Kluyveromyces lactis: one gene and its partner. The protein of the gene in region 1 purifies or fractionates together with the protein of each later gene. This does not show direct contact. Links are inferred from orthologs where the notes say so. Each region holds a gene or a part of one and is shown in the gene's direction. Other genes may lie near its edges.

Region 1 (5,772 bases):
GGTTCGGTGCTAAATATTTAAACGACATCATTAAGGGGTCCTCTCTATCAGATACAATCACTATAAAATTATCGGAAGAAGCGCCAGCCCTTTTCCAATTCGATATCTCAAGCGGTAATTTGCAATTCTATTTGGCTCCAAAGTTCGATGAAGAGGAATGAAATCTCTTTTCGCAATGCTATATATATATATATATTGTGTGTGTATTAAAATGACAATTACTGATATAAAATCAATTCAATTTACTTTAGAGTATGGTGTCGGTAGGAAAGGAATCCATCCCCAGGAATGTGCTTCTCACACAACTTTTCTCTGTAATCGGTAAAATGAGTTTAAACGCATCTCCCTGGTTCAAATAATACCGGAATAATCTCTTCATTCTGATGAAGCCCATATTCTCGTATAAATGCAAAGCAGCTGCATTGCTGCATTCAGTCTCCAACATAATCTCGTCACATTTTTCATCAATCATAGTATCTATAGCTAAGGTAATTAGTTTTTTCGCTATCCCACGGCCTCTATATTGTTTCTCCACTGCTAACATGCCAATGTATCCTCTTAACCGCACTCCATTATGAGTATCGCTCTTGCATACTATACATCCTATGGGCTTACCCGATCCTTCTGCCCATGCCAAATACGTTAGGTTCGGCCATTGGTTTAGGAAAAATCTGTACACGTATATCGAATATGGCTCACTGAGATCCTCATCGATCAATTTCTTGATGGTGGAAAACTCCATGTCATTACTGATATCGAATCGTGTGTACCTTATTTCGACCATCCTTTGCTTAGTTTATCTGCAGTATACTTTCTTATTAATTTTTAATTAGTTATATCAATGAGAGTAGATGCTGCCGAAGCTAGCGAATATAAAAAGCTTTACTTAAAACTGTTTATCTCATCATCTGGAGGTTTAAAACCAAATTTTTATAATAAAAGCATATCAGTCACGTGCTCTTGCTTCACCAAACTGATTCGAAAAAAGATTATATGGACCCCCCGGTAAGTTTTATAGGTGAGAAAACCTGTTACATAGTTTTTCAGTCCCCTGACGTTTATCGGCTCTTATTCCACTTGTTGCTTACGGCTTTAGTACTCCAGATTAGATATATCTCAGCATTTAAAGAATACTCATGATATAGAATCCTGTGAGCTAACACCCCCCATTTCATCATCATTAAATCGACATTGTCCCTTTATTTCTTTCCAAAGTCTTAAGGTTACAATCTGATAATTTTATTAATAATGCCGCCATGCAAGTTGATATGTGCTACATCAGGAGTTTCACACCAATTATCTAATGTTTATTTCCCTAGTTTCTTAGATTTGAAACAGTTTGCAAGTGATACTTTCCAGATACCGCTCGATGACATACTTCTATTGTTACCTTATGGAATGATATTGAAGAAAGCAGGATGGGATTCCAGAAAGCTGCAACAAGAAGGATTGGAAGAAATATACGTATTTGACCGTGGAATATTCAATGAGGAGATCGAGTTTTCCCCAAAGCCAAGGTTCCAACTTTTCAAACCTTTGCCATCGCCGATAAGCGATTCGTTACAGTTGGATAAAAATGTCATTCTACGGAATTTAGGGTGGTTGAAGGCTTTGCAATCAGACGTTGAATTTTTCCAGGACGTTATAAAAGAAACTTATCAAGACGTTCAACGGTTATTAGAGTGTGGTACTGTTATGCTTGAGTATTTGAAAAACTACTGCTATGAAGTGGAGGTGCTGTATAATGGCAACGTTGATTTTCTTAACAAGCTTCACGAAGATGGTGCCTCAAATCAATGGCATTCCTTTTATGATAATATTCTCGGCAATATTAAAGTTTCTAATCAGTTATTATCATCATTTTTCAATTATAGCGAGCTAACAGAGATCGAGGATTCCATTCACCGTCTGGATCGTGAACTAAATGCGAAGTTAAAGGAGTTAAAGAAAAGTATTGATGAATGCTACCAGCAGAGAACACAGTTAATCTCAGATTTAGATGATGTGAAAAAAAATTCAGTTGTCAGTTCTGATGATATGGACAACCAAATGGTTGAACGATTTAAAGAAATGGCTACAGAGATTGAGCTTGTATCAAATCAATATAAAGAAGAGGCTTCTAAAGATGCTTCAAAAGAGAAGTTTGAAACATTCAAAAGTGTACATGTCCCCAAATTACAAACAATTTCGCAAGCAATGTTCAATAAAGCTTCCACGAATTTAGATACAAAAGCTACTGTCCAGCAGAAGTTGCAACAGTTGTACCTTTCCGTTGCAAAATCGCAGATGAGCGTAATAATGGTGAAGTCGGTGTTAACTAAAGACGTTAAGACCAATATGAAGTTTTTGAAGAATGAAGAACTGAAATTATCTCAAGTATTGGATTTGCCTATGTGTTATGGATTGTATTTGATTGAGTTATACAGAGAGCAGCTCTGGACAGACCGTTACTCTCAACTTCGACAACAACATGAATCTTCATTGCAGCATCTTTTGGATGACGAAGTACGACAAAGAAACTCTTGGTACAAAGATTTCCAATGGATAACTCGATTTCTAGATGTTGATAGTTTGCTACCATCATCAGTATACATTCCGTCCATAAGTGATCATAAACAGGTGACATTGTCTCAGATTAAAGATTATATTAATCAACTTGCTTCATTGAACTTAGGTGAACCTACAATTAATTTACTTAAGTCAAAAGTCTCGCAGGCGGAGCTGACAGGCTTGCATTTACCTACAGATTACGCGCTCTCGAAGGACTCGGAGCTTATCATTGAAGGATACAAGGCTCGTATCAAAAAGCTAGAACATTTATTACTTGATGCACAGTTCCATCAGTACGACTCATGGCCAGCTGGCATTCTGAATAAGGAAACTGCAATGGTCCAAATGTTCCGCAATAGTACCGTGAGCACAAAGTTACAGCAAAGTTCAACATTCGATCTCCCAAGTTCCAAACAACAACACGAATCAAATAAAACCTTCGAGGAATTTCAAAACCTGCAAAAGGATATAAGCAAATACTCTGAATTAACCAAGACCCTTGAAACTGAACTTTCAACACTTAAAAGTCAACTTTCCCATATGGAGGTCGAGAAAAATGCTTACAGAGAATCCATGACAAATTTAAACAAAGAATTATCAACGTTGTTGATTGAACGCGAAAACTTCTATTCTGAAATGAATTCTCGTTCGGAGAATTTCAAGAAGCATTTAGGATCCCTCTTTGAGCAAAATGAGGAACTTGTAAGGGAATCTGAAGAATCCCGACGGAAATCCGAGGATTTAAACAAAATGAAAGAAGATCTTCTTGTCAATATGGCAACCCAAGAAGTTCAAGCAGAACAGGAACGGGCTTCCTTGCAAGAAGAAGTTGAAAGTCTTAAAAAAGATCTTAACCAATTGCAAATATCAAAAAGCAAAACAATTGATGCAGAGTTTATCAACTTTAATAAGCAATTGGAAAAAACTTTATATGATGTTTTCCAAGGTAGTATTTTCATTTTGGCGAGTATCGGGTTGTTACTTTCCAAAGATCAAGATGGAAACTTTCAAATTGTTCGCGTCAAAGGTTTAAGAAAAGATCTGGATTCAAGTTTGGCTGATATGAATAGTTCCATGGCAAAAAGTGTAATTGCACAAGAAATAAAGAGTACTTTCGAATCTATAAAGGATCAGATTGACTACAAACCTCATGAAAATTTCATTACCTACATAGAAAAACTATTTGGTAACCAATTGTTCGAAACGTCAGTGATCCGCAGGTTCAATGATATCGAAAGTTTGGCGAAAAAGCTTAGGAAAGAGAACAAGAATAAAAAACTCCTTTTGCAGAAAAGTGCTAGAGACAAAATTACAATATATAACTTCCAACCGGGAGATCTTGCTCTTTTTTTACCAATCAACGATCAGGAATTGCTATTAAATTCTTCAATATCGTCGCTAAATTCTTCATTTTCATCCATTGATTTAAACTCATCTACACAGTCTGTTATGCAACGTCCAAATGTTGTCAAGTCTGATATTGCAGCTAGCATTCTTAACGGAAGCTCTGCTTCTATCACAGAAAATATTCCATTAAGTAAAGCGAACAGGAATCCTGCACTCAACGCTAATGGCAGACCGGATACATTCAATGTTAACACCCAAGATTCGGCCAAGAAGCATGTTGTATGGGCAATTTTCACTGCGACAAATACTGATATCAAATACGTTCTTAGAAACTCAACGTCTAATTACGAATTATTGAAAGATAGGGAATGGGCAATGGGTAGAATCTCGGCCTTGGAAAAGCATGTGGTTGGAGATGATTCAAAGAACCCCTTTAAGTTTCCAAGAAATACCGTGTGGTATGAAGTTGACGCTTTTTTCAATCTTGACTGAACTACCATGTCTCTTGCATATACCTGTCAGTTCTTTCCATTTCTTTTAGATAATGCTCGGCTTCTTCTGCGTTTTCGAAGTTTCCATGTTTTTTCAGGATCTCAACTATAGTCAACCTAACCTGAACTGGCATTTTACCGGAGGATCCACAAATATATACTATGGCAGATTTTTTCAAAATTAGGTCTGCTATTAGACTAGATTGATTCCACAACTGATCTTGAACATACTTAGCATGAGGAGAATTTATGGGATCCCGCGAAAAACAAGTGAATAAATTAATTTTACCTTCTTTCTTCCACATAGATAACGTATCTTCATATAAAAAGTCCTTATCCTTCATTCTGTTACCAAAAAATAAGTACTGATCCTTGAATAAATTAGACTCGATCAAGCACTTCATTGGTGCGAGACCTACCCCCGGAGAAGTCATGATGATAGGTTTGCCAATAATATCTTCATGAAGTAAATGATTATTTTGAAGTTTATAACGAACTGTATCGTTTTCGGTTAATGTAAGTAGGTAGTTCGTGCATAGTCCTTTCCGTACCTTTCTTAACAAAGTCTTATAACGAACAATAGCAATAGTTAGTTCAACATTAGGATCAGATGGTGCACTTGAGATGGAATAAAATCTGGGCTTTATCATGGGTAGATAATCTAATGCGAACTCCCATGGAAGTTTTAAGAATTCAAAATCCTGTATAACCTCTAATACTGATCTTCTTGGTCTATTGCAATAATCATACAAGTCCTGTAGGTCTTGTCCATACCCGAACTGTCTTAGTTTATCCCTCTGTTGTTCTAATAGCTCTTGATCGGTTGGTCTATCTTCGTGAGCATTTGCAAAAGTCCAAGTTTTCATGAAGAAGCTCTGCCTAGGTATACTGACGATATCAAAATGATATTTTAACAAGGTTCTTAGAGTAAGTGGTTTCACAACACCACCATCTCTGAACCGATCACAATTTTCCAGGTCTGTTATTGTAAGAAGTTCATCAGCGACCTTCTTCCAATGAGGTTGAGCTTCGAGGAATAATTCAACGTCATTGTCTGAATTTTCGGGATATAAAGAAACTGTATCGCCTGGATGATAGGCTTCATGATCCTCGGTTTCAAACACAAATTGTCGAACGTCCTGAAAATGATCTTTAGCAGTTATTTGGTTGTTTTTCTTAACGGTTCCATGTCTTATTGTCTCATCTCCAACAAATTGAATCTTAGAATCAGGTAGCTGATCATTTGTCGATCCATTAACAGTGGATATTTCTAATATATTGCTCGGTTTCAAGTAAACATCTTCGGCTAGGCCTACTCTGGGCATCATTTTGCCATCGTGCTTTCTGTTGGGGTACTTCTCTAACATGTAGGCGATGATTCTTT
Region 2 (4,566 bases), on another chromosome or scaffold:
CAATTCATCGTAATAAGCAGTTATATGAACACTAGGATCGGCAGTTTTCCATGAATTTTCTGTCGAGACATCGTCTAGAAATATCAAAACACCTTCTTGAGTAATATCCAGGTCGAATGGAAAAGTTCCATCTTGCACTTTCCAAAATATCATCCTGACAGCATCATATTTAGGATCTGGAAACTTATCTTCACGAGTATTGACGTGAATTTCCATGGTGAAATGGGTCATTCTATTAGAAGCGTTATTATTTTTTTCTATTTTATTGCTCTTGAACTTGTATCCGAATGGTAGTTCTGGTGTTTTCCCCTCCACCATCGAGAATTTACCTTTGAAAGGCTTCATCGCATTGGCTATTCTTTTAAAAGACGGCTTTGGTCTTATATATTTCCATCTGCTTCTTGCATATACACTTCCTGAAGAAGTTAATGTTGCTGTTGTATCGTTACTACGGATGCTTCTTTTAAAGAGGATATGATCACTTGATAGCTTGAACACTCGACCAGCCATTTCCGTTTGTAGCCTTTTACAATCAAGTGGATTGGAGAAAAATGGATCGTTATACTGAACTTCTTCAATTTGGTTAGCAGATAAACTCTCCTTGATGTTAGCGTGTGTTACGCTAGGTCTGATCATCGGGCGAAATGTTGACTTTCTAATAGCAGATGTTTTTCGTTTTGCCAGTTTCCTAGCAATTGCTTCATTAGCAATATCGTCATGACATGAAGATTCCTCCGCACGTTTGGAACTGACATGTGAAGAGTGCGATTCATTGGAGGAAATATTTAGCAAAATGGGAATATTTTTAGTGTTTGTAGACGCTACTTTTTGTTCACGAACAGAAGTATATTGGTTGTTCAATTTGAATTCTACTTCTGACCAACAGAATACTTTACTACTAGCATTCCTTGGTATTTTGGGCCATAATTCTTGAAGGGCGTCTTTGGTACTTGCAAAAAAATTCTCATTAATGAAAGGATCCACAAAGTTGTCAAAATTTAAAGCTTTTTCTTTGTTAAAAAGGGAAGACATTCGTTTCTTAGCTTCATCAAAGTGTTTCACCAACCTTTCATCTTCTTTCCAATTATATTGTAATTGAGATTCTCGAAATATTTCTTTTAATCCTTCATATTCAGCAAGCCCTTTCCTTTTCCTAAGCAGTTGTATCTCTTTCCATATATCTTTTGTAGAATTAACATATCCTTGATCTGATGTTTGAAGGTCTTTCTTAAGCTCAACAAAATCATGGTGTAAATCCCTGAATTGAATTTCTTCTCTGTTTAAAATGAACTGTGGAATAATATCCATTTCAAGAAAGGTCTTTCCAATTCGATGAAATGGATCTATGTCTAAAACATTTTGATTCGGATGCAAGTGTTTTTTCAAAAAACGTTCCAAAGAGTCCGTGTGCAATATTTCATTCATATCTAGATCAGTTAACAGAACAGGTTGCCGAAAATAGCATTTGGATAGTTTTAACCATCCGCAACCAAATAAGTTATAGTCAGCCATCATTTGCAATAAATAAGGTATATGAGCCTCAAAGACATCCACTTTTGAGGTGAATATTCTGCCATCTCTAAGTAATTCAGAGAGTTTATTACTATATGAACCATTCAAAAGAGTAATTTTATAGTAAGGTTCATATCCTACGTGGTATCCGTAAAATGGAACGCCTTTGACAACGGACACATTAGCAATGTATTTCAGGGAAGTTAGCTTCTCTTTAAAATCTGTTTTGGTAAAAGTTTCAATCATCCGTGTCTCAAGTATTTTGTGCAAACTGGTACATCTATTCCGTATTACTGATGCTTTATCATTCGAATGTCCGTCATATTTGATGAATATGTAAGGGAAAATGCCATGGCAATGAATTAGAACTTTGTGTCCGGTAGATAAACATCCATAGAACCTTAGTACTGGCACCTGAACAAATCGAAGTCCAGGAAGGCTCTTACTAGTTTTACAATCCAATAGAGTTGGGAAGCATTGATAGCTGTCTGAATTATTAATCTGTATGTTGATTTCATTGGAGTCTAAGCTGGAGTCTAAAGAACCAAAAATATCACTCATCTGCAAGTAATCATCATATCAGATTACAGTCACCTTAATGTAGCACAGTTATATCTTCTGATGTAAACGATGTGAATGGTATAAAAGTAATATCCTTGATTAATGGGTGATATACTGTGACCAAACTTCAGATGAGAAATAGCGATGAGCAATCCTGCAAAGTTGGGCTAAACTTGATTATAGTTGGGTATATTAGTATTCATGATTACCCGGATATTGTGATCATTCTGATACGTAATGAATAATCATATTTTAGCTAAAGTGATTCTCGTATACTGGAGTTGTCCGAGATGAAAGTGAGATCTAGTTGAACAACATTCACCGCAAGTTCCTAATCGAATTTAATAGCAAATGTTACTTTAAATTGTTCTAATCTAGATTCTGTGGTATAGGAAGAAATTTGGTGATTCTATAAAATCCACAGTGTGAGGTGTATTTACAATGAATAATGACAACACAAAAGTGTACGTAAGAGTGGCAGGTAAACGACCTGAAAATTTTGTCGAAACAAAACCATTTATTTGGGATTCTCGTCGAGATAAGATTCTATGGACCAAAATCTCAAAAATTGACTCGTTAGAGGATATGGATTGGCAGGAATTGGGGGCTGATTTAGGTGCACCAGAACCCTTTCTCAAAAAACGGAGTTATACTTTATTTCAAAATCAACTAAAAGTTTTATCGAACCAAATAGACGTTACATCTAATACCCGGTCCTCATCAGAGTCACGAAATTCCGTTGACAACAACATTCTCCAAAATTTACAGGCATCAAGAATAATGAATCATAAATTGGATAAGACGGACAACTTAGCCAATAATCAAGAGTCTAGTAGTGAACTTTCGAATTTAAGTGTGAGCAAGTCAGCACTTGAGGACGCATTGATGGATTGTTTACAACTCTGAGAGGCATCTACTACATTTGCATTCAAAAAACCAATTATCCTTCAATATTGCCCTTCTCCGGTTGACGTCAAGGTGTAATATACCCTTGTAATCAATACAGAGCTCTTCTCCCTTCTGCACATCAGTTTGTAGAATGTATTGAAAGACTCTTTCGACCCTCTTTTTCTCCACGTTAGGCACACAGGAATGGTTAAAATATGAGGCCTCCGGATGAACCATATAACCCAGATATTCCCTATCATCGTCCGACTCTGAAGTCTCCCAAATGCCAAATGAGTTTCCATATTCAGAACCAAGGATATGTCTAAAAACTGATGTTGTCATGATATACCTATACTGGGGAGCTAGAGTATAAACCCATTTGAAAACTTTGATCTGAAACTCCAGTAGAACAGGGAATCTCATTATTTTCTCCACTTCATTTGACTGAAGTTTTTCCCACGTATTCCACTTCACACTATTTCGATCCAAATGTGTCATGTTAAATAAACATTCTATCACAAACCTGATACAGGAATAATGATCCTCATCTATCACTGGAAGTTGGTTGGTGGCCTTGGCAAGTTTCATTTTGGAAACTCTAGGCATCCAAGTACTTTCTAAGTCCATCCAACAACTCTCAATTTCCTGATGCATCCGCTTATTATCGTAGTCTTTATACAATTCCGTATCTGTTTCCACGCACAGGCTTTTACCCTGTATCGATTGGAAATGCGTTAATATCATTTCATAATTCAAAATAAGATCAACAATATTCGGTCCACTTAGGAAGAAGTTTTTACACTCTTCAGTACAAAACCAAAGCCCGCTACCTTTGTACTTCTTCTCTAGTTTATGGTTTAACAAGTTCAAATCTAATTTCAGTAGGTCTGCCCAGCTGATCCTAACTTTCATTGGTTTACCACCGTCATATTTCAGGCAAAAATGGCACACTTCCTTACGGAACTCGTGAGAAATACTAGATCCGATCCACTGGGACAAATCTAACAGATGGGTGCCTTTTAACATGCTATTTGAAGCAAAACATGCCCGGCCGCCATATGCTGTACGTTTTACTTCAATTTTGTCATTAATATATACTTCCGCATTCATCCGTGTCCTGTATTATATCTAACTCCCTCACAATTGGCATATATCCATGAATTCTAGTTCGTAATATATAATTCAGAGGATTTTAAGTGTAGATACCTCTGACCAGTTAACATCATATTTTGCCAAGCAGCCCATCTCATTGCATCTCATCGCCTGAAATCAACGCTCCAAATTCCTTTTGAAATTATATCTTCAACTAGATCAGTAGATTTTAAGAGTCACGTGAACTGTAAACATCAGTTCGCGTGGTAGTCTTTCCACTATCGTGTCAAAATTAGATCTTTGACCACAGCAAAAGTAAGGATAGGAAAGGGGAAGGAACTCACAGTTACGACGTAGAAGGAAATCAGAATTTTGCACGTTGTAGTCGCATTATTTGGCTTGCTAAATTTGATTGTTATTGCTCTACCCAATTGCGTTTCCCAGATCATTGAATTGTTTTTAAAACATCATGACACTTTACAAATTATTAACACCTAAAGCATTCGCAGAATT

Evidence for each region. The genes of interacting proteins can lie anywhere in the genome.
Region 2: the proteins of ATG11 (region 1) and ATG29 purify together in Saccharomyces cerevisiae (affinity purification with western blotting; 4 studies listed by BioGRID, with this or other methods). This does not show direct contact. The link is inferred for Kluyveromyces lactis from reciprocal best matches to the Saccharomyces cerevisiae genes ATG11 and ATG29.

What each region holds. Positions count from the first base shown.
Region 1 is NC_006038.1:1,057,610-1,063,381, forward strand, and holds ATG11 (autophagy protein ATG11), read left to right. Parts: upstream 1-1,248; coding exon 1,249-4,389; downstream 4,390-5,772. Other genes in the region: POL30 (proliferating cell nuclear antigen), read left to right, coding at 1-161; peptide alpha-N-acetyltransferase MAK3, read right to left, coding at 248-784; TAH18 (NAPDH-dependent diflavin reductase), read right to left, coding at 4,391-5,772. UniProt on the Saccharomyces cerevisiae protein: Involved in cytoplasm to vacuole transport (Cvt), pexophagy, mitophagy and nucleophagy. Recruits mitochondria for their selective degradation via autophagy (mitophagy) during starvation, through its interaction with ATG32.
Region 2 is NC_006039.1:855,891-860,456, forward strand, and holds ATG29 (Atg29p), read left to right. Parts: upstream 1-2,514; coding exon 2,515-2,979; downstream 2,980-4,566. Other genes in the region: REV3 (DNA-directed DNA polymerase), read right to left, coding at 1-2,073; SET6 (Set6p), read right to left, coding at 2,968-4,071; TUM1 (thiosulfate sulfurtransferase), read left to right, coding at 4,523-4,566. UniProt on the Saccharomyces cerevisiae protein: Plays a role in autophagy. Functions at the preautophagosomal structure (PAS) in order to form normal autophagosomes under starvation conditions. Also plays a role in mitophagy and regulation of filamentous growth.